4 linked regions of the Drosophila melanogaster genome follow. The protein of the gene in region 4 purifies or fractionates together with the protein of the main gene of each other region. This does not show direct contact. Each region holds a gene or a part of one and is shown on either strand. Other genes may lie near its edges. The genes, in order: CG4554, Sec3, CG4004 and CG1105.

The links.
Region 1: the proteins of CG1105 (region 4) and CG4554 purify together in Drosophila melanogaster (affinity purification with mass spectrometry, with the first as the bait; one large-scale study listed by BioGRID). This does not show direct contact.
Region 2: the proteins of CG1105 (region 4) and Sec3 purify together in Drosophila melanogaster (affinity purification with mass spectrometry, with the first as the bait; one large-scale study listed by BioGRID). This does not show direct contact.
Region 3: the proteins of CG1105 (region 4) and CG4004 purify together in Drosophila melanogaster (affinity purification with mass spectrometry, with the first as the bait; one large-scale study listed by BioGRID). This does not show direct contact.

Annotation. Positions count from the first base shown.
Region 1 is NT_033778.4:22,481,491-22,486,330, reverse strand, and holds the start of CG4554 (uncharacterized protein), read right to left. Parts: upstream 3,029-4,840; 5' UTR 2,913-3,028; coding exon 2,868-2,912; intron 2,803-2,867; coding exon 438-2,802; intron 375-437; coding exon 1-374. Other genes in the region: CG4752 (uncharacterized protein), read right to left, coding at 3,335-3,487, 3,546-4,746, 4,812-4,840.
Region 2 is NT_037436.4:17,421,266-17,427,143, forward strand, and holds Sec3 (secretory 3), read right to left. Parts: upstream 3,953-5,878; 5' UTR 3,835-3,952; coding exon 3,181-3,834; intron 3,123-3,180; coding exon 2,895-3,122; intron 2,837-2,894; coding exon 2,387-2,836; intron 2,315-2,386; coding exon 1,833-2,314; intron 1,777-1,832; coding exon 1,269-1,776; intron 1,191-1,268; coding exon 843-1,190; 3' UTR 522-842; downstream 1-521. Other genes in the region: COX7B (cytochrome c oxidase subunit 7B), read left to right, coding at 4,330-4,375, 4,645-4,814, 4,874-4,930; Polr3G (RNA polymerase III subunit G), read right to left, coding at 5,043-5,405, 5,463-5,591, 5,661-5,804. UniProt on the Drosophila melanogaster protein: Component of the exocyst complex involved in the docking of exocytic vesicles with fusion sites on the plasma membrane.
Region 3 is NC_004354.4:12,743,362-12,748,290, reverse strand, and holds CG4004 (uncharacterized protein), read right to left. Parts: upstream 2,976-4,929; 5' UTR 2,937-2,975; coding exon 2,424-2,936; intron 1,975-2,423; exon of another isoform or gene 1,920-1,974; coding exon of another isoform or gene 1,572-1,919; intron 1,423-1,571; coding exon 856-1,422; 3' UTR 538-855; downstream 1-537.
Region 4 is NT_033777.3:7,063,657-7,068,937, forward strand, and holds CG1105 (uncharacterized protein), read right to left. Parts: upstream 3,481-5,281; 5' UTR 3,383-3,480; coding exon 3,268-3,382; intron 2,642-3,267; coding exon 2,486-2,641; intron 2,065-2,485; coding exon 1,222-2,064; intron 1,114-1,221; coding exon 959-1,113; 3' UTR 530-958; downstream 1-529. Other genes in the region: Mst84B (Male-specific transcript 84B), read left to right, coding at 1-400; CG1965 (uncharacterized protein), read left to right, coding at 3,854-4,073, 4,132-4,433, 5,052-5,281.

The sequences.
Region 1 (4,840 bases), on a different chromosome or scaffold from region 4:
AGCCGTAATGCTCGACAGTTCGAAACCACTGAGCGTTGTTTTGAATTTTTCTTCATCAATAAGCCCCGATAACTGAGCCTTTTGTTGCACCAGAGCTGCTGGTTGCTTGTAGGCCGCAAGGCAATCCAAAGCCAATTGTTGTAACTGGGAGTTAGGGCCGGCTAGAAGCTCCAGATAAAAGTCATGCATCTCCGCCTGACGATGCAAAGCCTTGGGGTTGGGCTGGGATACGAAACAGGCAAGTTTTAACTGAAGCGTTTGCAGAATAAACTTTGTGTGGGCATTTTGGGTTCTCCTCTTTTGACGGCCTCGGGGCTCGGGTTTGGTTTCATTGTTTTCATTTTCATCATCCTCCTCAACGTCAATATCCGCAGCTAAAGTAGAGTGAACAGCTTTGAAAAACTGATGGATAATGGATATTCATTTAATTAACTTACCCGTCGCCTCGTTCACATTCCAAGTATGCTCCGATTTCTCCAATTGTGCGCGATATTCGTTATCCACAAACTGCAGAAACAATCGCACCAAATCAGCATTCTTTACCTCAGCAAGTGTGCCCAATTTGGGCACGCTTTGCCATAGAAGCTGGCGGTAGTTGAGGGCCTGCTGAAGGGTCAATTGTTGCTCCCCAGGCAAAGTCAGGAGCATGGTTAGTGCTGCCGATTGGTAGTCCCTTTGATATGGCACTTGCAATGTTGTAACTTCCTTCTTGTAGTCTATGCAGGCAACAGTATCGACTAACTTGGCCTTAAATAATGTCCAGAACTCATCCACTGTCATGGTCTTGACGTAGGCAGCCAGGAGCTGTTGAACCGGAGCCCACACAAACTTGAAATTGTTGTATAAAAGGCCAAGTAAGAGGCTAACGGCGTGCTCCTTGAAATGTGGCAACTGGGAGAACTGTTTGAACTGAGCAGATGCCGGCTCCAATTGCTGCAGTTGGAGGAGTAGCTCGCGGTAATTGTGGACAGTGGGCTCGATGCAGGCGGCGGCATTAAAATGGGAATACGGATTTGGTTTGCTCGAGGAGTTAAGCACATCCAAACAGTGGGCAGCTATGCGTCTGTATAGCGATACAGGCTGGCTTAGAAGACCTCCAATTCCGAAAAGTAATTCATCTGAAGTGGATAGCTCGTTCTTGGGGCCTTGTAAAAGAACCACTTGCAAGCAAGCCAAAGCTCGAATGTCCTTTCCCAGTTCAGGAATAAGGTAACCATTAAGAGAAGATCGCAAACTCTTAGGTAAGTTAAATTTGAGCAGTGCGTGAGTTTGAAGTAGCAGGAGCAGTTGTGTAAAATCCTTTCCGTTATCGCATATGAGCTTTTCAATAACTGATTGCAATCCTTGTTCTAATGGCTGCTTGTTAAAACCCCTCAAATGGGGAACTAGGATGATTAAAAGTAGATGTTCCTCTTTGGTCAGGTCTAGGTGCAGAAGTTCTTGTTCCACTAATTTAATGGTGTCCTTTTGTTTTAACTGGAGAGGATATGCCACCCATTGGGCCAGTGAGTTACCATCAACTTTTAGCGGCCGTTTGTGCAGAACGATGCGAGCCAGCAACTCCCGCGCTCTTAATTGCCTCTGTTCTTCAAAGTACCCAATAACGTTGGGGAGAACCAGAATCTCAAACTGTGAATAGTCCAGAAGCTGCAGAATGGCGTCTTCGTACACGGTCACTTGTTTTCGACTTATGCTTAACAGCTTTTGCAGCAGACGGCTGGCATCCAACTGGGATAGTTGAGTGTGCTGAGCCTTCAACAGACTGGTCACCAATGTTGTTAAGGGCTGAAGAGGATCCAGTTCCCGGTCCAAAAGCTTTAGCAGAGTGCCAACTACCAGCGGAAGCTCGGAGACATATCGCCCATCCTTGTGGGTGACCAGGGGAAGCATTAAGTCGATAACCCTTTGTTCATCCACGCTTTCACTGCTCGCAGCCGAACAGAGTTTCTGCCACAGAATGTTGCTTTGGTCTGAGCGCAGAAAGTTGAGCAGCAGACCCAAAGAATACTCCACGATATCTCCCAAAAGTTCTGTTTGGTCTTTGGTGTGAGCGGAATCCTTGTTGACAAGCACCTCCAGGACGTGGGCAAAGATTTCGGCCGCCGAGTTGTGCAGCTGTCCGTTGACGCCGCGCAGAATTTCGTAGATGAGTCGTCCGCAGCCGTGGACACTCTCCACCTGCTCACGCAACACAGTCTTCAGCACATAGGTCAGGAAACGCGGGAAATCACGGACATCACGAGCAATGTAGGCAAAGCATTCTACCGCAAAGTTGGTCACATGCTCGGCATAGTGCTGTTCATCCAGAAGCGGTAGAATTGCATTGAAGACAACACCTATGTTGCGCTTCAAATAAGGCTTGAGCGTCTTGAACAAATGCGCCAGGCAGATGAGCGTCCATTCCAGTTGCTCGGAGTCTTGGGTGTTCAGCAGGCAGATAAGTCGGTCCAGGACTCGCTGGAAGTACGGGTAGAACTCCTCACGGAGATCCTTGGCCAGGACATAGAGCAGTTCCAACAGCGGCTGTTGGGACAAATTCGTGGCGGTGGAAAGACGTTCCAGGAGCAAGTCTACAACAAAATCCTTCTGGTGCAGCAGCTGCGGCAGGGTGACTATCTTGCGACAGCGCTTGCTGAAGTAGTTGTACTCCTCGGAGAGATTGAGCACGTTCCATTTCTGAATCGTCTGCTGGAAGTAGGTGGCATTCTCCTCTTCGTCGAGCTCCTCGTTCCGATGGCCGATGTGGTAGAGGGCCAAGTGCCGCAGGTCGATTTCATTCACCCGATCTCCGAAAGATTTGAACTGCGGGTGAAAAACGTGTAAGGCGGTTGGTCACCAAACAACTCGAGACTTCTGGGGACACTCACCCGAAAGGTATTGGTGTCCTTCGTTTTTTCCGCTAAAGATGCCATGTTTCTACAGTTTACACTCGACTGCTTAATTTACGGAAAAAACTCTTTTGTTTACGGACAATTTTCTTTCAAATGCAACACGTGCGAAACATATTTACGCACTGTTATCGATAGACAGTCGGCGATTGCACTTACTGAAAACATATGTTCGCTTGAAAATATCGATAGTACAGCATATCGTTCCGAAATGGCGCACTTTTTTAAATGGTCTTCGAAACAATTTAACTTTATAGAATCTTCATTAAATAAAAATTAATTGAATATTAACTGAACATTTTATATGCAATTTTCCACAGCTCGCTGTAATATGCGCCACTCAGTTTGTTTGTTTGATAAGGTCTTTTAAAAAAATAACTCAGTGTTTCAAAAGTCAAGGGACATTTATTAATATGGCACATATAAAAGCGAAATCAAAAATTTGCTTAGGCAGACTCCTGGCACTGAAGATAATTAAAGACAGTTCCTCGTTCCACGTATCGTTTGCTGGTTTCCTGATTCAAGGATTCACCGGACTTGGAAAAGTCTTCAATTGGTCCATACCCACCCCCGCCGGGAGTTTTCATGGCAAAGGTGTCCTGAAAAGGATGGATAAGTAGTTAGTTGAGTTACAAATAAATGCATATCAAAGTATACCCCAGCTTCCACATCAATGCAGGTTTTGCCTGCCAGAGCGATCACTCGACCATCCCGTTTCACCACCAAATTGCGTCCACTCTTCCCGGATTCTCCACCTGCGAGACCGTAGGGCTGCAGAGTTCGTCTCTCTGTCAGGACGGACAGGGTAACTGGCTTGCGGAAGAGGAGATCCCGCTCCACACCCTCGCCTCCGTGGAACTGACCTCTTCCGCCGGAGCCATCGGTGCGAAGGCAGAATCTCTTCAGGATCATGGGATAGCGCAGTTCAAGGATCTCCGGATCAGTGATGCGAGTGTTCGTCATGTGGGTATGCACTCCGCCGGCTCCATGCCAGCCGGGCCCAGCACCAGCTCCTCCGGCCACAGTCTCATAGTAACCCCAAGACTCATCCCCAATAGTTATATTGTTCATGCATCCTTGCGAGGCGGCACAAACTCCGAAAGCCTTCAGAACCGTGTCTACGATGCGCTGCGATGTCTGCACATTGCCGCCGACCACAGCTGCTCCCTCTGAGGGATCCAGGATGGAGTTTTTCGGAATGATCACCTGGATGGGTGCCAGGCAGCCCTGGTTGAGTGGCACATCATGGCCCACCATGCAGCGCAGGCAGTAGATTAGGGCGGACAAGGTAATAGCCCGCGGAGCATTACAGTTGCCCCACACTTCCACTCCCGATCCGGTGAAGTCACAAAGAGCCGAACCCTGCTCCGCATCGATGGTCACCTTAAGGGCGATGGGTGATCCGTCGTCCATGAACTCCTTCGCCTCTAGCACTGTCGATCCAGTGCGCTCCAAAGTATCCCGGCCAATCTGACGCAACATATCCCGAACCGCCAGTTCGGCGTTCTTTTGGATGTGCGACATGTAGGCCTGGACCACATCTAATCCATAGCTGCCGATCAGCTCCGCCACCAGCTGGATGCCCTTGTGGTTGGCGGCGATCTGAGCCTTCAGATCTGATAGGTTGTCGCTCAGGTTCCGGGTTCCCACAGCTCCCTTTGCTGCCGTGGGCGTGGTCAGCTGCTCGATGATCTGCTGCTCCTGAAACAGGCCATTCTCTACAATCAGGAAGGACTTGAAGGCGGCACCTTCCTGGGCCAACGAGGTGGAATGCGGCGGCATAGATCCAGGAGTAATTCCACCAATATCCGCATGGTGACCACGGGAGGCCACAAAGAAAACTGGTCGCGGATGAGTTCTGGAAGAAATTATATATGTTAGTCTGACTGGACAAATACCCACAAAAACTTCTTTACTACTCACTCATAAAAGACCGGCGTGATGACAGTTAA
Region 2 (5,878 bases), on a different chromosome or scaffold from region 4:
CGGAGCTTCATAAAATATGCACCACATTCAGTCGCAAGTCGTTGCGGCTTCTTCCATTTTCCGTTTGCCATTTGCCATTTGCAATTACCATTTGCATTTCACGGAGTTATCAACACGGCACATGAGCACACACGGAAACACGTACGGCTAGAACAATTTAAAATACACGAAATAAAATGCTTATACTGCAGTTGGGTAAATCACGCGGACAGGCGACAACCGATGCGAAAGAGTCGCGCGGCTTGACTGGGAGCACCAGCCCGAACTCCAACGGCTGGCGAACGAAAAGCCACCCCGGAAAGCTCACTCTTCGAGCACTCTCTCTCTCTCTCTCTCTCTTTAGGCTATGATCTATCTCTTTTGATCTTGAAGAGCTCTCTTTGACCTTAGGAGGCTGTTTGAATGTGCACGGTAGTAAATTAGAGTTATACTATAAAAGTATAAATACAAAAAGTCAAACTTCTATCTGTGATTTTTAAAAGCTGACGTACTAAAGATCAAGTAAGATCTCTAGAAATTCTACATTTTTATATATAAAATTTAGTTTACTCGCATTCTTGGACAAAAGTTGAGTATTGGCTATGTAATTTTAGCTTAGAACTTATACAATAATCAACTTCAATGGCTAGCTGTTGAAAAGTTCCCTTTAAGGCCTAGTCTCGTTGATTTTTCACTACGCGATCCCTCTCTCTTGGACGTTTCGAACATTCGCAGATCCACATCTGTTTAAATATACGCGCCATATATTTTGCAATCAGCAGAAACAGCGCTTTAAATACTATTGCACTTAAAAATAAAACCCGGTTGAACCGCTCCCTGACTTTCAGATTCCAATCCCTAGATCAGTGGGAGCGCGCTATGTCCGAGAAGAAGGCGAGTATGTCCTGAATGTTGAACTCCAGGTTGATCATGGCGCCGGCGTAGCACTTTTGGATGCGCTCCTCCAGGTAATTATACTGGGCAATGAACTCCTCCTGCATGGCATGCCATACCACTTGCAGCAGATTCTCCTCCTCGCTCAGGTGCTTTTCCACCTTCTTATATAGGTTCTCCAGTCCTTTCTTCACCTCTCGTGCAGGATACTGAGCGATCACCTTGCGGAGTTCCTGCTTGGAGAATGCCATCTGGTAGCTGATTTCCGTTTCCTTGACTCCCTGGGCCACCTTAAGTTGCACGCCTTCGAAGAATTGCTGCAAAGGCAGAACGGAAATTTATGAGATGAAGATCGACTTATCTTTTCTTCTGGAAGGTCATTGACTTTGGCTTACATTCAGTTTCTCCAGCGGCCGGCCGAAGTACTGAGTCACATACGCTTTTAGCGCATCGTTATAACACTTCTTGGCCTCCTTTTTCAGGGCGTCCAGACCAGGAACCTTGAGCTGGGCTAACAAAGCGTACATGTGGTGGTAGTTCTCCATGCGCACTACCTGAACTGGTGTCTTGGGGTGCTCCTGCGAATGCAGTTGGATGCCCTCAAATATGGCATTCACCAGCTGCAAGTACCACTTCTCCATGTCCGTTCGGCGATCCGATTTCCGAAATATGCCCTCTGCAGTTTGGGCAAAGTTTTCAAAGTTTTCCACATACGGCAGAATGGCCTTAGAACGTTTGTGCAGCTTTGCCTCCCGGATAGACAGTAGTTGGTTCTGCATAAAGCGGTCGAAGCTCCGCTTCACCTGCACCAAGGCGGAAGCGAAGGTCATGCTAAGAAAGGAATGTGTGTCCTGGGCGGACATGACGTGCTGCGTAAGTCGCACAAAAACGTACAGAGAGTAGCTACGAAAACAAATTTGTTAATTACTCCTTACTCCATTACTATATTGTTTACTTACAAGCTGTCTACACGCTCAAAGCTCTGGATGAAGCTAACTAGCTCTGGTTCTAGGCAACCGAAAAGGCCCATCATCAGTTTACGCACATCTTCGTTAATTTGACGGTCAATCCGCTTCTGCGGAACACCATCACCTGATGGCGAAACCGCTCCTGATATGATTGACTGTGTCATATCCACCGCCTTTTCCATCTCCAACGTAGTCTGTGTGTTCTTTGTCGTTGGACTAATAACGTCCATCTGAAAAAAGTTGATGCAGAAAAGCTGTTCCTGCAGGGCGATGGGTTCCAGCTCAGCTAGAACCTTTTCCAACAATGCATCAAAACGCATTCGATCCGCTGTCTCTACACCGGGACCCCACTGATCCCTGTTGATTCCCAGTGTGCCATAAGGTATTGTGGAAACTGCGGACTTTCTTGAAGACGTAGACATGTCCAGATCCTCCCGAGAATTACGAAGCTTTTCCGTCACCTGAATTTTAGCCTATAAAATAATCAGAAGTGATCGAGATTAGCTTAGATTACAAACTATTACATTTCCATGTTCATGTCTTACCAAATTGAAGAAGTTCCTCACATCCCTGTCATAGATCTTGCTCAGCGATGCTGTGTACACACGCATTAGACCATCGTAGGTCTTCCGATCCATGGCTTTTGTCCAGTGCATCAGCTCAGTATAAGGCGTCAGTTCCCGATGGACGTTGGAATGGTTAGGCAGCGTAAGTTCAGTGCTAGTCACCTGCATGTCTCCTATTTCATTGCCCAGGTGGATGAAGAGGTTGTTCATAAACCGACTGACCGTGGCAGAGAATTTTTGTTTCCACTTTTCAAAGCGCTTGCGTTGGTCCTGCACCGCCTCCAAACGCAGCAGAGCAGGATCTATATCGCTGTTCATTGCCTGTTGCAGGCACTGAGCAGCTGCAATGGCTGCTTTGCGTCCATTGGCGGTCTTTAAATCGGGTTCATCCAGAGCCTGCTGCTGGCTGTGCGGCAGATCCAGTTGACTCTGCAGAAGTAGCAGAATTATTAAACAGTATAAAATTGAGTACACTAAGAATACGCACTATGACTTTGTTGAGCTCCTTCATAAGCTTGATATTGTTATTGTTGGCAATTTCGATCATGGCATTTTTGCCTCCAATTTTCTCCATGGTTTCCTTGACATGCCCCAGAATGTCCTCGTAGCTATCAAGACGGTTTTCAAACTTATCCGCCTCGGAGATAGCATTGTCGATGTGTTCCATCATTTTCAGAACCTTCTGTTCCGAGGCAAGTACACTTTGCATATTGGCCTGCGAGATAAGAAATTATGAGTAATGTATACACGGTGGACAAGCCCAATTTACTAACCCCATCCAAATCGTGGAGCTCACGCGACAGCTGCTCTATGAACTGCTCAGCATCTTTAATGGCGAAGTCGCACTCGGAGAAAAGTTTGCCCAGCTCATTGGCCTCTTTGTCCGTCAGAGCGGTAAACTCCTGGGCCTCCTCCTCTTCGTCCTCCTCGTCGTCCATGTGTTGCGTCTTCTGAACCGCTCTGCCCAATGCCACCTTTTCCGGCGACTTCTCCGACAACCACGCTGCGGGCACATTCCGGAATTCCGCCCGCTGGCCACGCACGCTTTTTTGGATTTGGCGATTGAGCACGGCCAGAAAGTTTTGGCGCTCGTGAGGGTTAAGGGCGTACCATTTGTACAGCTTTTCCAACTGCAGATCGAACTCGTGCGTCTCGAACTGCTCGTTCCGGCCGTCAACCCACTTAATCTCGTCCAGCTGCCAGCTCCGCTTGCGCTTGTATTCGCCCTCGCGCTGCTCCGACTGTTTGATCAGGCACAAAGTGACCACGGGTACCGGTGGCGCCGTGGTGACAACGCAAAGGTAGCACGGCTTCTTGTCCTTCTTCTTGACCACCGTCACCACAGAAAGGAGGCGTTCTCCGGAGGCCAAGAAGAGTTCCTTCTGCAGCGTGTGCTTGATGTTGGCCATAGCGCCAATGGACAGCATGGCTGGGTATATCTTCGGGATGCACTGGTCTCGAATAAAGTCCTTTCAAGAATCAACAACTGGCCAGTTGTTTGCACTTGCAATTAGCAATTGGAGAACGCCTCCGCACCAACAGCTGATTTAACAGAGCTTCTGCAGAGGCGTTTACAGACTATCGGTTGGGGATGAGCGCATTGCGTGAGTGTTCTTTACGTGGTTAAAAGTCACATAGCAAAAATATGCTAAGACTACAGAAACCAATTAAAATGTATTAAATCATATTGTTATTTAAACATTTCAGTATAATAGATACATTGAAGGTTTCATCGCATCGTAGGTAATAACAAGTATGCAGCTCGTGATCTCATCCCAACTGTAGGGTAGATATTATTCTATAACAACACAACGGTCACACTGTTCAACACAAGGTAATCTTCGGGTGAGTTATAATGCGAAAAAGTATTGGCAGTGAAAATAAACCCATATTTACCCATTTCCAGCTACTTTCGAGCAATCATGTTGGTTAAGCACATTGTCAAGCAGGGGCTTCTGCTCAAGAACGGTGAGTTGGAGTGGCCCAACACCTCTTTTCAGCAAAACTGCTAACCTTAAAAATTACATAATGTGGATAAGCAAAGGGAGAAACTTCAAGGAACTGCGAAGGAATGGTTCACCCACCAATCTTCAGCATAGCCATGGATATTATCAGAATTAGCCAAACAGATATCGGAAGAAACTTGGATGAGATCATTAACCAAGTTGCATTTCGTTGGGATTACCCCCTTTTTAAAACCAATCACTTGAATATTCTTTCTTGTTCTCTCATTTCAGCTGGCGCTTTGTCGCGTGCCGCTTACCACGGTGGACATGGTCCCCACTCCACCATGAACGATCTGCCCGTGCCCGCTGGAGACTGGAAGGAGCAGCACAGCCAGAAGAACGCCAAGTACAATGCCGCGCTCATCACTGGCATTCTCGTCCTGGCCGGCACTATTGGATTCGTAAGTGGCTGCCATATTCCTTCCATCCCATATCGGTCTTATTGAAATACGCTTTGCAGGTGAAATCTTCTGGTATCATCCACTTCAACTACTACGCGCCCAAGAGCCTGGACTAAGCCAGCGTTCCCTTACGTGTAAATTAATCCAACATTTGTGTTAAATAAGCTTAAAGTGGCGACATAGTAAATCACAGATCCGAAAGTAATCAGTTCGATGGTTTTATTTGTCTCAGTAAACGGGACCATCGTCCAAGTTGTCGTCCTCATCATTGAAGGCTTCTCCATTATCAAAGTACGTTGCACCGTAGTCGTTGTCCTCGTCCATCTCATCATCCAACGCCGCCTCCGGATCTTCCTCCTCCTCCTGTTCGGAATCGGACTCTTGTTTGTTCTCGTCCTGCTCACCGCCACCTGATTTCAGTTCTTTCTGCTCCAGAACCTTCAGTCTGTCCTCGATGTTTGTCTTCTTGGTCAGCAGATTCGGCCTTGCATCTGCTCCACGACGTTTTCGACTGGAGATGTTTAGCTCTTGGGGCATGGCTTTGTAGTTAAAATCGGGTTGTGCTGTGAGCTTCATGCGCTCCATGGCTTTCTGGGGGTGTAAAAGCAGGATTATAAGCAGCTAATTTAAAATAGCCAGTATTATTACTTCTCGCCAGTCCTTGTGATCAAGGTTTTTTGCGTCCCGACTGGCGGAGATCATGTAATAGGGGGAATCTCGCATTCGGTTCAGAAAGTCCTCCTTCCACAGGAGCTGATAGTTCTGTGTGGCTGTTGTCTATCGAAGTAAAACAGGTAAAAAGTTGATCGATGTTTTTTAAACTAATGTAAATGGATTTGTACCCACTTCTAGGGTAGTGGGTCTGTTCAAAACAGGCGGAAATGTAGGTGGCGGCGCCGTCTGCACCGGCATATCCTTTGTGCATCCCAACATGGCCATTTGCTCCGCCGTGAGGGTGCCTGTCTTGCCGCCCCTTCCGCGGCCTGCCATTATAAATGCTTAATTTATTGTATTCTGTTTAGAAACACTTATTTCCGATTGTATTGTTCAGCTTGCACGTTTAT
Region 3 (4,929 bases), on a different chromosome or scaffold from region 4:
AACGATAATAGAGCAATGAGTGAAAGGGCAAGACAGTGCGAGAGGGCGCGATAGATTTCGAGAAAGAGACGAACGCCAGTATAACGGCAATGGCAATGCCAACAAATTAAAGTTACTAAAGCAAAGGAAACGGCAAAGGAAAAGATTGGGAGTGTGTAGAAAAGAAAAGGAGTAAAGAAGGAAAAGAGAACACAGCGGCAAGGCAAAGAAACCTGAAATAAAAGAATCGCAGCACAGCAGCAGAAAATTAGCAAAACGGGAAGAAGGCGGAGGAGATGAAGAAGTAGAAGAAAGAAGAAGGCAGGCTGACAAAACAAGATGTGCTGGCTGCTTGTCGGGGAAAGGGGGCGGGGATGAAGAGGGGAAGGGATCCGCATGCAGAACCACTTAGTCAAATTTTAAATGAATAACAACCAGTTCCTTTATTTGCTTTCATCCTTTTTGTTTTTGCCCTTTTCTTCTCCTTCCCTTTTGCATCGCATTTTCGCTTTTAGCCGTTTTCGCTTTACATTTGCCATTTCTGCATTTTTTTTTTTGGTTTTTTTTTTGCTTAGCGTTGCAGGCGGCTAAAAATATCATTCATTTCGGTTCTATCTATTTTTCCACTTAAACTACGAAAACTTAAAAATATTGTCGAGTTTTCAGCTTAACTTAATTACATTTTTGTTTCTTATGCAATATTAATTATTGCTATAACGGACATAGTGCATTTTGTCGTTCAATATTATGCTTTTTTTTTAAACCGTAATGCCAAATGAAATGATCGTTAAAGATAGAATTTGAAATAATTAAATTGTCGTTCATACGTTTTCAATCGCATTTTCATATGCGAAATGAGTTTTAGTTTAGTTTCACTTATTTATGACCCATACTAAATTGGGTCTCGAACGAAAGGCGATTCATTCGGCCGTAGACCAACACCTCGCTAATGATCCGTTCGGCGAAAAGTCGCTGATCCGGACGCATACGCCGGAAGTGGCTGGCCATCCGTTTTCCGATCAGCTCGCACTCGTACTCGCTGTCGCTTTCATGCTTTCTGTCTCGCTCCCTATCCCGCTCTCTATGCCAGTCTCTATCTCTATTCGAAGTCTCCACATTTCTACGCTTTCTCGCCGCTTCAACGTAATCGGTGTCATTGCTACTGCGTCTTCGTCGGTTACGGATGCGACGTCCGGATTTATCCGAAGTCTGCGATTCACCGTTATGCTGCTGGTGCGAAGATACGGTGTGCTGCTGATAGCCATTGTTCTTAATGCTCCCAGCCGATGAATTGTTACGATAATCATCAACATGATCATCCATGTTATCCAATTCGGGATCGTTATCAGGCTCGGGTTCCGGTTCAACATCGCCATCACCCACGGCATCAAGACGTAGCATATCCTCTTCGTGTGGAAAGGCATCAGACATAATGTCAACATCCTGAAAGTAGATAAATTAAATTAAATATATCAGTATCCCTTTTTTTTGATTAACTGTATTACTATACTAATACTATAAGTATATAATGGATAATACTAAATCCACAATACACAGATCTACATATGTACTAGAGATCTGCATTAGTTCACCGCAACTACAAGTACACCGCAGCCGAAAACGGCCGGCAGTCCTCCGCAATCCACTTGGAAACTGCATTCAACGCCTCCTTTTTGTCTGGAGCAGACACAATCCGTAGGGCAGTTGGTTGCCGAAAAGATTGACAACATTTGTGCCTGGCTAAATTTGAAGTTTGATTGCCAACACATTTTAGGAATTTTTCGACATGAGCGGCAGTAAACCAAGTCGTTTAAAATTGATCCATCATCCTTAATAATCCCGCTTAAAACATTCCAGACGAAACTCTTTCCCTTGAGCTTGGGCTCCAAGGAGTAAAGGCCACTTGCAATCTGCTCGGCGATAAATGCGTGGTCCGACATTCTGCTACATTCGCAACGACTGAAGACTCTCACAAGTAATAAAGTCAGTGAATAGAAATATTGCAAAACCAATGCACCGGGCTTAAAAAAGGCTACAAAAAGGAAATATGCAAAAGCAACTGTAAACTTAATGTTTTTTTTTTTTTTGTTCTTGCACATTGTCATTCTTCTAAGTGTGTGACATTGGCCTTGGTCGATTTTAGGCATGTGTATTCTGCTACGCGGTGTGCGACTTCCGCGCGTAAAAGACACAGAATACATTTTTGAGTGTGTCCTATTCCGTCGCATATTTTTGTGTATTGTCTGTGTTCCACACACAGACAATGCGGTGGTAAAACACCGCAAACGCATTTGATGCGGTTGTTACTTAAACCGCCACCGCTTTTTATGCGAATATACTTGTAGTGCTCAAATCAGGCACCGGTGCCGATCTCTGGTACCTACATATATACATATATGCCCTACATAATGAAGTTCCATAAAATTCCTTCATAGATCACTTACTTCGGTCTCCAATTGCTGCATATCCTCGGTTATATTCTCATCAACTTCAATTTCTCGCTTCACAATAAAGCTCATTGATACCTCCTGTTCCGCCAATTGCGCTCCGAATGTTATCGTTTTATTTGACTCATTCTGCAGGACTTTCGAATTTCGAACCAAATCCCGATCGGCGGCCACTATGCCCTCCAATTGCAGTTCACCGGTTTCCAGTTCATAGAGAAAGTCTAGTTCTTTGAAATACCAAAGCGTTGGCTTATATGTGTTCCCACTATCCAGCACCTTTCGCAATTCCCGGCGATACGAGGTCCGAAAATTGTTGATCTTACGTTTGAGCGTATGGATATTGGCATAGCTATCGGTCGTGCGTAGCAGCTCTAATAATCGGCTATAGGATTCGAGCTTCAGCTGGCGATCGCGATACAGTTTACTGCGCACCAGCCACAATTCGGGCATCGAACGGTACAACCCGAGGAATTTCTTCCAAAAATCGATCGCCGTGTGCGTGTGCGACATGTCTGTCTAACGTCCGTCGCGCGACTGAAGCTTGCATCGTAAATTGGTCGTACGACCGGCGTTTCATTTGTCCTGCGAACGCCGTCAAACGCCGTCAAACCACGTCAAACGCGATTCAACCAGATTCTATACATATACATACGCTTAATTTTACAGAACTGCCAGACTTAACATATGATCATTTCATATCCTACATGCATATGCATGCATGCATACTTTATGAAAACCAACAAATAATACAAATAATAATAATAATAAATATATTTCCTATGTTACCTATATTGCCTATGTATATACAAATATATTTATCTACCTATTTATATGAAAATTACTTAAATTTGAAATTTATCCAATAAAGAAGTCCAAGGACTATGTAAACACTCACGCATTGCGGTCGTAACTCACCTGAATGCTGGTCTCGTCGAGACTATCGTCCACGTTCTCGGATTTCACCCTGGCCGGCGATTGTATGTTGAGTACCGGCTTGAGGAAATCCATCAGATGAAACCACCAGAGACGCGTCTGGTAGCCATTGACCGATTCCTGTACCTTTTTGAATTCACGACGATAGCAGCAACGCAGCGAGTTTATCTTTCGCTTAACATCCTGAATCGAACAGTTGCTATTAACGCGTCGCAGTATCTTCAATAGCTCCTGATAGCCGGGCTCCTTTTTCTGTTTCGATAGATAATCGGGACTGCTGCTGTCCCACAGGGCGGTGAAATACTGATAACAGCTGATGAACTCCTCCATGATTTCGGGCTCATCGTACAAGCATGTGCCGCCCATCTGGGACATTAAGTAGTCTGGTTTTTTTTTTTTTGTTTTTGTTAACTTTGGTTTTATTGCACGTTTTCACGCTCGATTCGACGGTCTGACGTTGAATGATAGAGAATGACAAAGTCGCAATGGGTATTATACAATTTTCGGTATGATGATTGTTCATTTCGCTTGTTTGCTGTATGATGCGGCGTGTCATGCAAGTGCAACGTGTGCGAGCCTGTTTTTTATGTCCACTCCATCGGCTTGTGACTCTTTTGTTATTTACGTATGTTTGTTAGCAAAAAAAAAAAAAAAAAATATCACTGTTCCAGCATTTGCTTGCTGTTGTTTTCTTCTTTTTTTTTGTTGCTCTCCTATGCCGTCAAGCGTGCGCGACGTTGTCACTTTTCAGTTCGCTTCGAACATGTTGCGACGTTACGGCTTTTGTGTGCCCTGCTGCTCGATTTATTTCGCACTGAAAAACGGCAACGTCGCGCGACCGTCGAGCGAAATGAATTGGAAAAAAGCGAAAAGCTTAGAAAAAATGTTGCAAGTCTTCTTCCGCCGGCCGGTTGCCAACAAAAACAACCACAACGAATAGGGGAGCTGGAAATAGCGGAAAGAGGTAAAGAAAAAGGGGGAAGAGGGCGAAAAACACTAATAAAAACAAAGAAAATCCAAAACAAAAAACGCGGATAGATTAAAAGCAATGTATGAACGTTTTTTGATCGATTTATAGATTATATACATATGTACATATGTCGCAATTTTTAAGCTTATAAATTAAGCATCAAAAGGCAATTACAGTTTAGAATAAAACGCATTGGGCAAATCGGTTTGATCAGTGGCAGCGAACTTGCAACCGAATTGGGCGATTACAGGTAAATCGCACGTGTGCATTCAACTCAATTTTTTTCCCGTTTAGGCTGGCCGTTGCCCTCTTTCCATCTGCCGCCCACCATTCCCACACCGCTCATCACCCCCTCGTGACCCCGCATAACCCCGCCCGCTTTTCCAACCGCCTGCGCTCAGCGCATTTCACTTTCACTGCAAATTGGCAAGTGACAAAAAAAAAAAACGCGCAAAAACAGAAAAACAAAAGCAACAGAAACAGAAACAAAACAGCAGAGGAAAAACAAAACACATGAACGCAGACGAATGAAAATTATCAAAGGAGTGCGGGGAGGGGGATGTGGTACATACGCAAGAACGAAAATCAAACCATTGAAAA
Region 4 (5,281 bases):
CAAGGAAGCAGCCCAAGTTAAGAAGAATGCTAGCAAATCTGCTCCAGTAGCTAAAACGGATGTCAAAGAGAACATCAAACAGGAGGTAAAGAAGGAGGTGAAGAAGGAGATCGCTAAAACGCCATCTCCGCCTCCTGCCCAACCACCAAAAGCTGCTAATCCATCCCCTCCACCATCTAAAGCCGCACCACCCTCACCACCGAAGCCGAAAGCCAATCCCGAAGGACTTTTTCAGATATGCAAAAAAATAGCCGAAAAGAAGCTTAGACAAAGGAAAAAGAAGATGAAGATCCTCAAGGCCAAATGCAAAAAAATAGCTCTGAAGGAACAGTGCAAGTGTGAGAAGAAAGCAAGAAAGGCCAGGGAACTGAATGAATACTGCAAGAAAAAGAAGAAGTAAATATGGAACGATAGCACCATCATTCCAAGTTCTTAAATCTCCCAATGCTCCGTATAAAACAAGTTCCTCAAGGCTCAACACATTTTTGGCTCCCAGGATTTGGCTATGCCCATGTATCAAACCTTCATTATCTTTTGTGTTTTATTACGATTATAGTCGTACATCAGTTTTAGGCACTATTGCTGGCTTAAAAAAAAACAGAAAAAATTAAATTTGAGCAGTTTAAATCGGAATTGACAATTGTGCGTATTTATACGATTATTAAATTAAACACAGATGCAGTCAAAATAATAAAGACCCAATTCTTTGTATTTACTGTCCGAAAGCTATTTAATTATAAACAGAAGTTAAGCATTTCAAAAACTTTGTATAGGTAGACCTTTTTTATTTTGACTGCACCTGTTTATGCTTTCTATTTGGACGGAAAGCTAATATTTCATAAATGCAAAGCCGATAAAAATTGCGAAAGCTAACCCTCCAGAAACAGAGACAGCCAGAAGAAAATAGTTCGACATCAAAGTTTAAGAATATCATTGTGGGTCTAGCTTAGAGATTCAATCACTGGCTAGCTGGCGGTGCTGTGGCATTATTAAACTGGAAAGTCGGATACCGAGGTGCGAAGGCTCCGTCGCCGATCATCTGCGTATGCTCGGAGTCGTCCCTACCGGCGATCGTTGGTGCCCGGTACTGTGTCTCCACAAACTGCGGTGGCGCTGCAAAATGAAAATAGAATATTTTAATAAATAAAGATATATAACCCTACTAAGAAGCTTTTATAATTTAAAAGAAAATCCACAAAACTCCATAATTTTAATACTCACGTATATTAGGATACAGTGAACCACCACCAGTACTGTCAGCCACGTTCCAGCCTAGAGCACCACCCACGCCATCGCCGCCAGGAGGGCTCGCCGGGCTCACTGGCTGTGTGGGCGCCAGCGATGGATCCTCGGACTGAACCGCCGACGGAGCATCCGTAAATTGAGTAGGTGGCCGTACGCCAGCCAATGGAATAGTGCCCAAGGTGATTGGCACCTTGCCAGTGAGATTGCGGTGCGGACCGCTCACCTCGCACTCCACATGCAGGTCGTAGTCCAAAGCGATAATCCCGCAGTTGAGGAGGTTGGTCGGTGGCAGCGCCGGAATCTCCATTTGTTGCGTAAACGTGCGAGACTCGCCGCCATTGACTGGGCCAACACTTAAGTTGGCTATGATCACCTTGGACTCGCGCTTCTCGCTCCGTGGCTGGTTTGTGTGGAAGGTGACCAGCTTACGCAGTTCAAACTTCACTGCCGTAAGATTTACGTTGCTGGTGTTGTCCACCTCGCAGGTGATGGGCAGCACCTGCCCCGAAACGAATCCTGTTTGCGGGATGTTCGTGATGACAGCCAGCGGTCCTGAGCGACAGCAAAAACAGCAGAATGACTTTTCTAGCTCGAGCTTGAATGGCTCCTTGACTCGAGGATTGAGATTTAGATCAACGGGCGCTATTACTGTGAACGCCATCTTCATGTCCTGATCGAATTTCCACGGACGATCAAGCGTCACCTTGATGGTATAGCGCACATGGCCAAATTCGCCCTCAAAGGATGAGGGTAGATTAGGCGGCAGAGCACAGGTGAATGGATAAGTGTGAGTGCCAGGCGGTAGTTCCGTCTCAGAGCCTGCAAAATCATACATTTAACTTTTAGCATTTTAAAAAGGTCACTTATAGCTTATTATGTTTTCAATTCTTACGCGCAGAGGAAGGGTCTGTCAAGGTATATTATTTAATAAAGCTAAATAAAAACATTAAATTATTGTAGTTTCAAAAGGAGAAGTTATTAATGCTATAAGGTGTATAGTAATTACAAGATTTAGTTATTATTTTATATAGAGCGAGGAAGTGCAATCCCATTTATTCGATTCATATAAGGACAAATTTAATTTTAAACAAAAATCTTCTTGGCCAATTCTTACACCATAGAATACAAAAATTTATGCTTAATAATAGACACTTTCAATAATTAAATCCTCCAATTCTTTTCAGATAAACTAAGGTCTGGCAACCGGGGAGTGAATTCCCGGTCTGTTTTTTGTACTTACTGTTTTTGCCGCCCAGCAGATAGTACTGGATCTTAAAGTACTCCTCATGCCCCTTCAGTTGGGTGACCTCGTTCTCGGTCTTGCCCTCGCTGGTGGTTACGCTCTTCTCCTCTGACCACTCGGTGTTGGCTTCTCCCAGGAACCGAATGATAATACCTACGAGAAACAAGTGGCTGTATTTACGGAATGACAATCGACGACGTCACTGTGGCGCTTTAATTTTAGCTATAAATAATATGAAAAGCTTTCTAAGGCATACTCAACGGATGACATCATCGCTACCAGGCAGCATCTGTCTCCCGTGTTTGGTGACCTCAAAATTTGATTATGGTGGAATGTTTGCCACATAGGTTACATGCCCCCGTCAAATGTACTACATATTTATTTACTTTCTTTTGTATTCATTCACACTTGGAGCTATTTATAGTTGTTATCGCCCAACTGAAAAGAGGAGAAAGTGCATTTCTTTGGAGGGTTTAACAACCGCCAGCTTTCTGAAAACAAGGTCGTTTAGGCACCGAAAGAGCAACCGACATTTGTGGGTGGTGCGCCGGCTTTTTGCGTCAGGATTTTAAGAAGTTAGCAAGGAAACTACCAACGACAGCCAGTGAACATCCTGCACATTGAAGACGAAAGTGCTATGTATATTTATTTACTAAATTTCCAATTAATCATTGACTCTTACACAGGTGTCGTCACTCCTATGAGTAATAGTAAGCAGCTGGGGTTTTAATTAGCATTCTCCAGCGCTGCCCACAATTGGGACTTGGATTCGCACTTACCTCGGACTTTTTTGGGCGAGTCGAACGTAAACTTCACCTGGCCGTTGACCGTCTGACCGGCGTAGTAGGTGTTCCACGGGTTGTCCAATTGCAATTCACAACCTTTAAGGCCCATGTTAGAGATTCTGTGACTCAAGGCACCAATAAGTTAACGACTTTTCGGTCTGTTTTGAAACGCCCTGCGGTCGCCGAATTCAGAGATTAGAGATGGCCGTTGTCGGTATCTAGGGATGAAAAGTCATCTAAGCTCTTGCCGATATTTTAATAAGACCAGTTTTATGTGTAGCTGCCCTGGGTATACAAATTAATGTATTTATCACATTTTTATTTAATTGTTACAATAGTTTCAAAATTTGTAAAGCTATTCATATTTTCAATACAGAAAAGTTTTGTAAGTGCTAGACCGAGGACCGAGAATTAACGTTCCAGCCCTGCTCGTGACTCACGTGAGCACGAGAACGACATCGAAAGATTTTCATCTCTATTACAATACGACAGCAAGAAGAAGAGATCTTGCGAAAATTCGCTTTTCTTCCGATTTTTCATTGATTAAACAAATCGCAGAGTAACAACAACATCGTGGAAAATGTCGCTTTTTCGCAAACCGAAGAAAATTCAGCGACGCGTGTTCTCCAGCAACGCTGACGAAGAGGAGGACGGCGCATCCTTGGATCCGGACGCCGAAATGGAGGCGCCACCGCCTCCCATAATTTCGGGCAAGAGGGAGAAAGAGAAGAGCCGGAAGGCCATAAAGCCGCAGGAGGACAACAGCAAGCCAAAGGCGCTGCTCAGCTTCGCAGATGATGGTGAGTGATACCGGAATATAAAAAGAGTATGGAGCCAAAATCCCCAATTCTTTTGCAGAGGATGACGGCGAGGTGTTCCAGGTGCGAAAGTCGTCGCATAGCAAGAAAGTGATGCGCATGCTGGACAAGGAACGCCGCAAGAAGAAGCGCGAGGAACGGGCGGAAAACAGCGGACATCCCGGGGGCGAAAATGGTAGTACACAGCATTTAGAGTCGTCCGGTGGCCCATCATCGGGTCCCCCGAATTCCAACTCGAATCCTGCCAATGCTGGCAGATATAAAAGTGCCAGCGATCAGAGTAAAAGTAAAAAAAGTGATAATCATATGATCCAAACCGAAATACGCACAGACGACTTTGTGGTAAGGTTATTATTATTCAATTTCTTCTACAATAATACCGTTTAACGAAATTTCAACATCAGAAATTACATTGAATTATCGTAGAACAATTAGCAGCAAAGATTAGGCTGAATGAGTTTAAATGTGTTATTAAATTAGTTGGTTTTTCTGGTCTGAAGTGCCAATTTTAAAATATTAGTAGCTTAGACGTTGATTTGCTTGGCGTTTTAACTGGTCAGTGATGGGAAGTGTCTAGGATCTGCGATCCAACTATCACTCAACATAAAATTTCCAATTATAATGCGATCTTTAAGTACTACTACTGTAACTATGACCACGAATTAGAAAATTTATCACAGAACATTCTAACTCATTCTTTCTTTGATAATAAATTGACGCATACAACTTGACCTTACCAGAAGAAAACTATTTAAATATTATGTAACATTCAAAGATATATTTTTTGAATTACCAAAAATCAAAGCCATTGCTAACGTAGTCACATAAATAGTAATTTTCCCACCATTGATAGTCGCATGTCTTCCCTTCCACAAAAGCAGCATGAATACCAATGCTTCACCCTAATCGAAGTCCTTTAGGAATCCACAATAATATAAAACTTACTTATCTTGTCCCCAGCTAGTGGTAAAGAAATCTGAGACTCCCGAGGCAATTCTGAACGGTAGAGCTGCCCTTTGCGCTGGACGGGAGGATATGAGCGATGAAGAAGACCAGCAATCCGAGGATGGTGGCCATGACAAAACGCGTCACCGTTTCTCCAAGCCAGAACATTTGAAACAGATGCTCGAAAGTGGTTCCATTCCGGATGCAGCAATGATACACGCTGCCCGAAAACGTCGGCAAAGGGC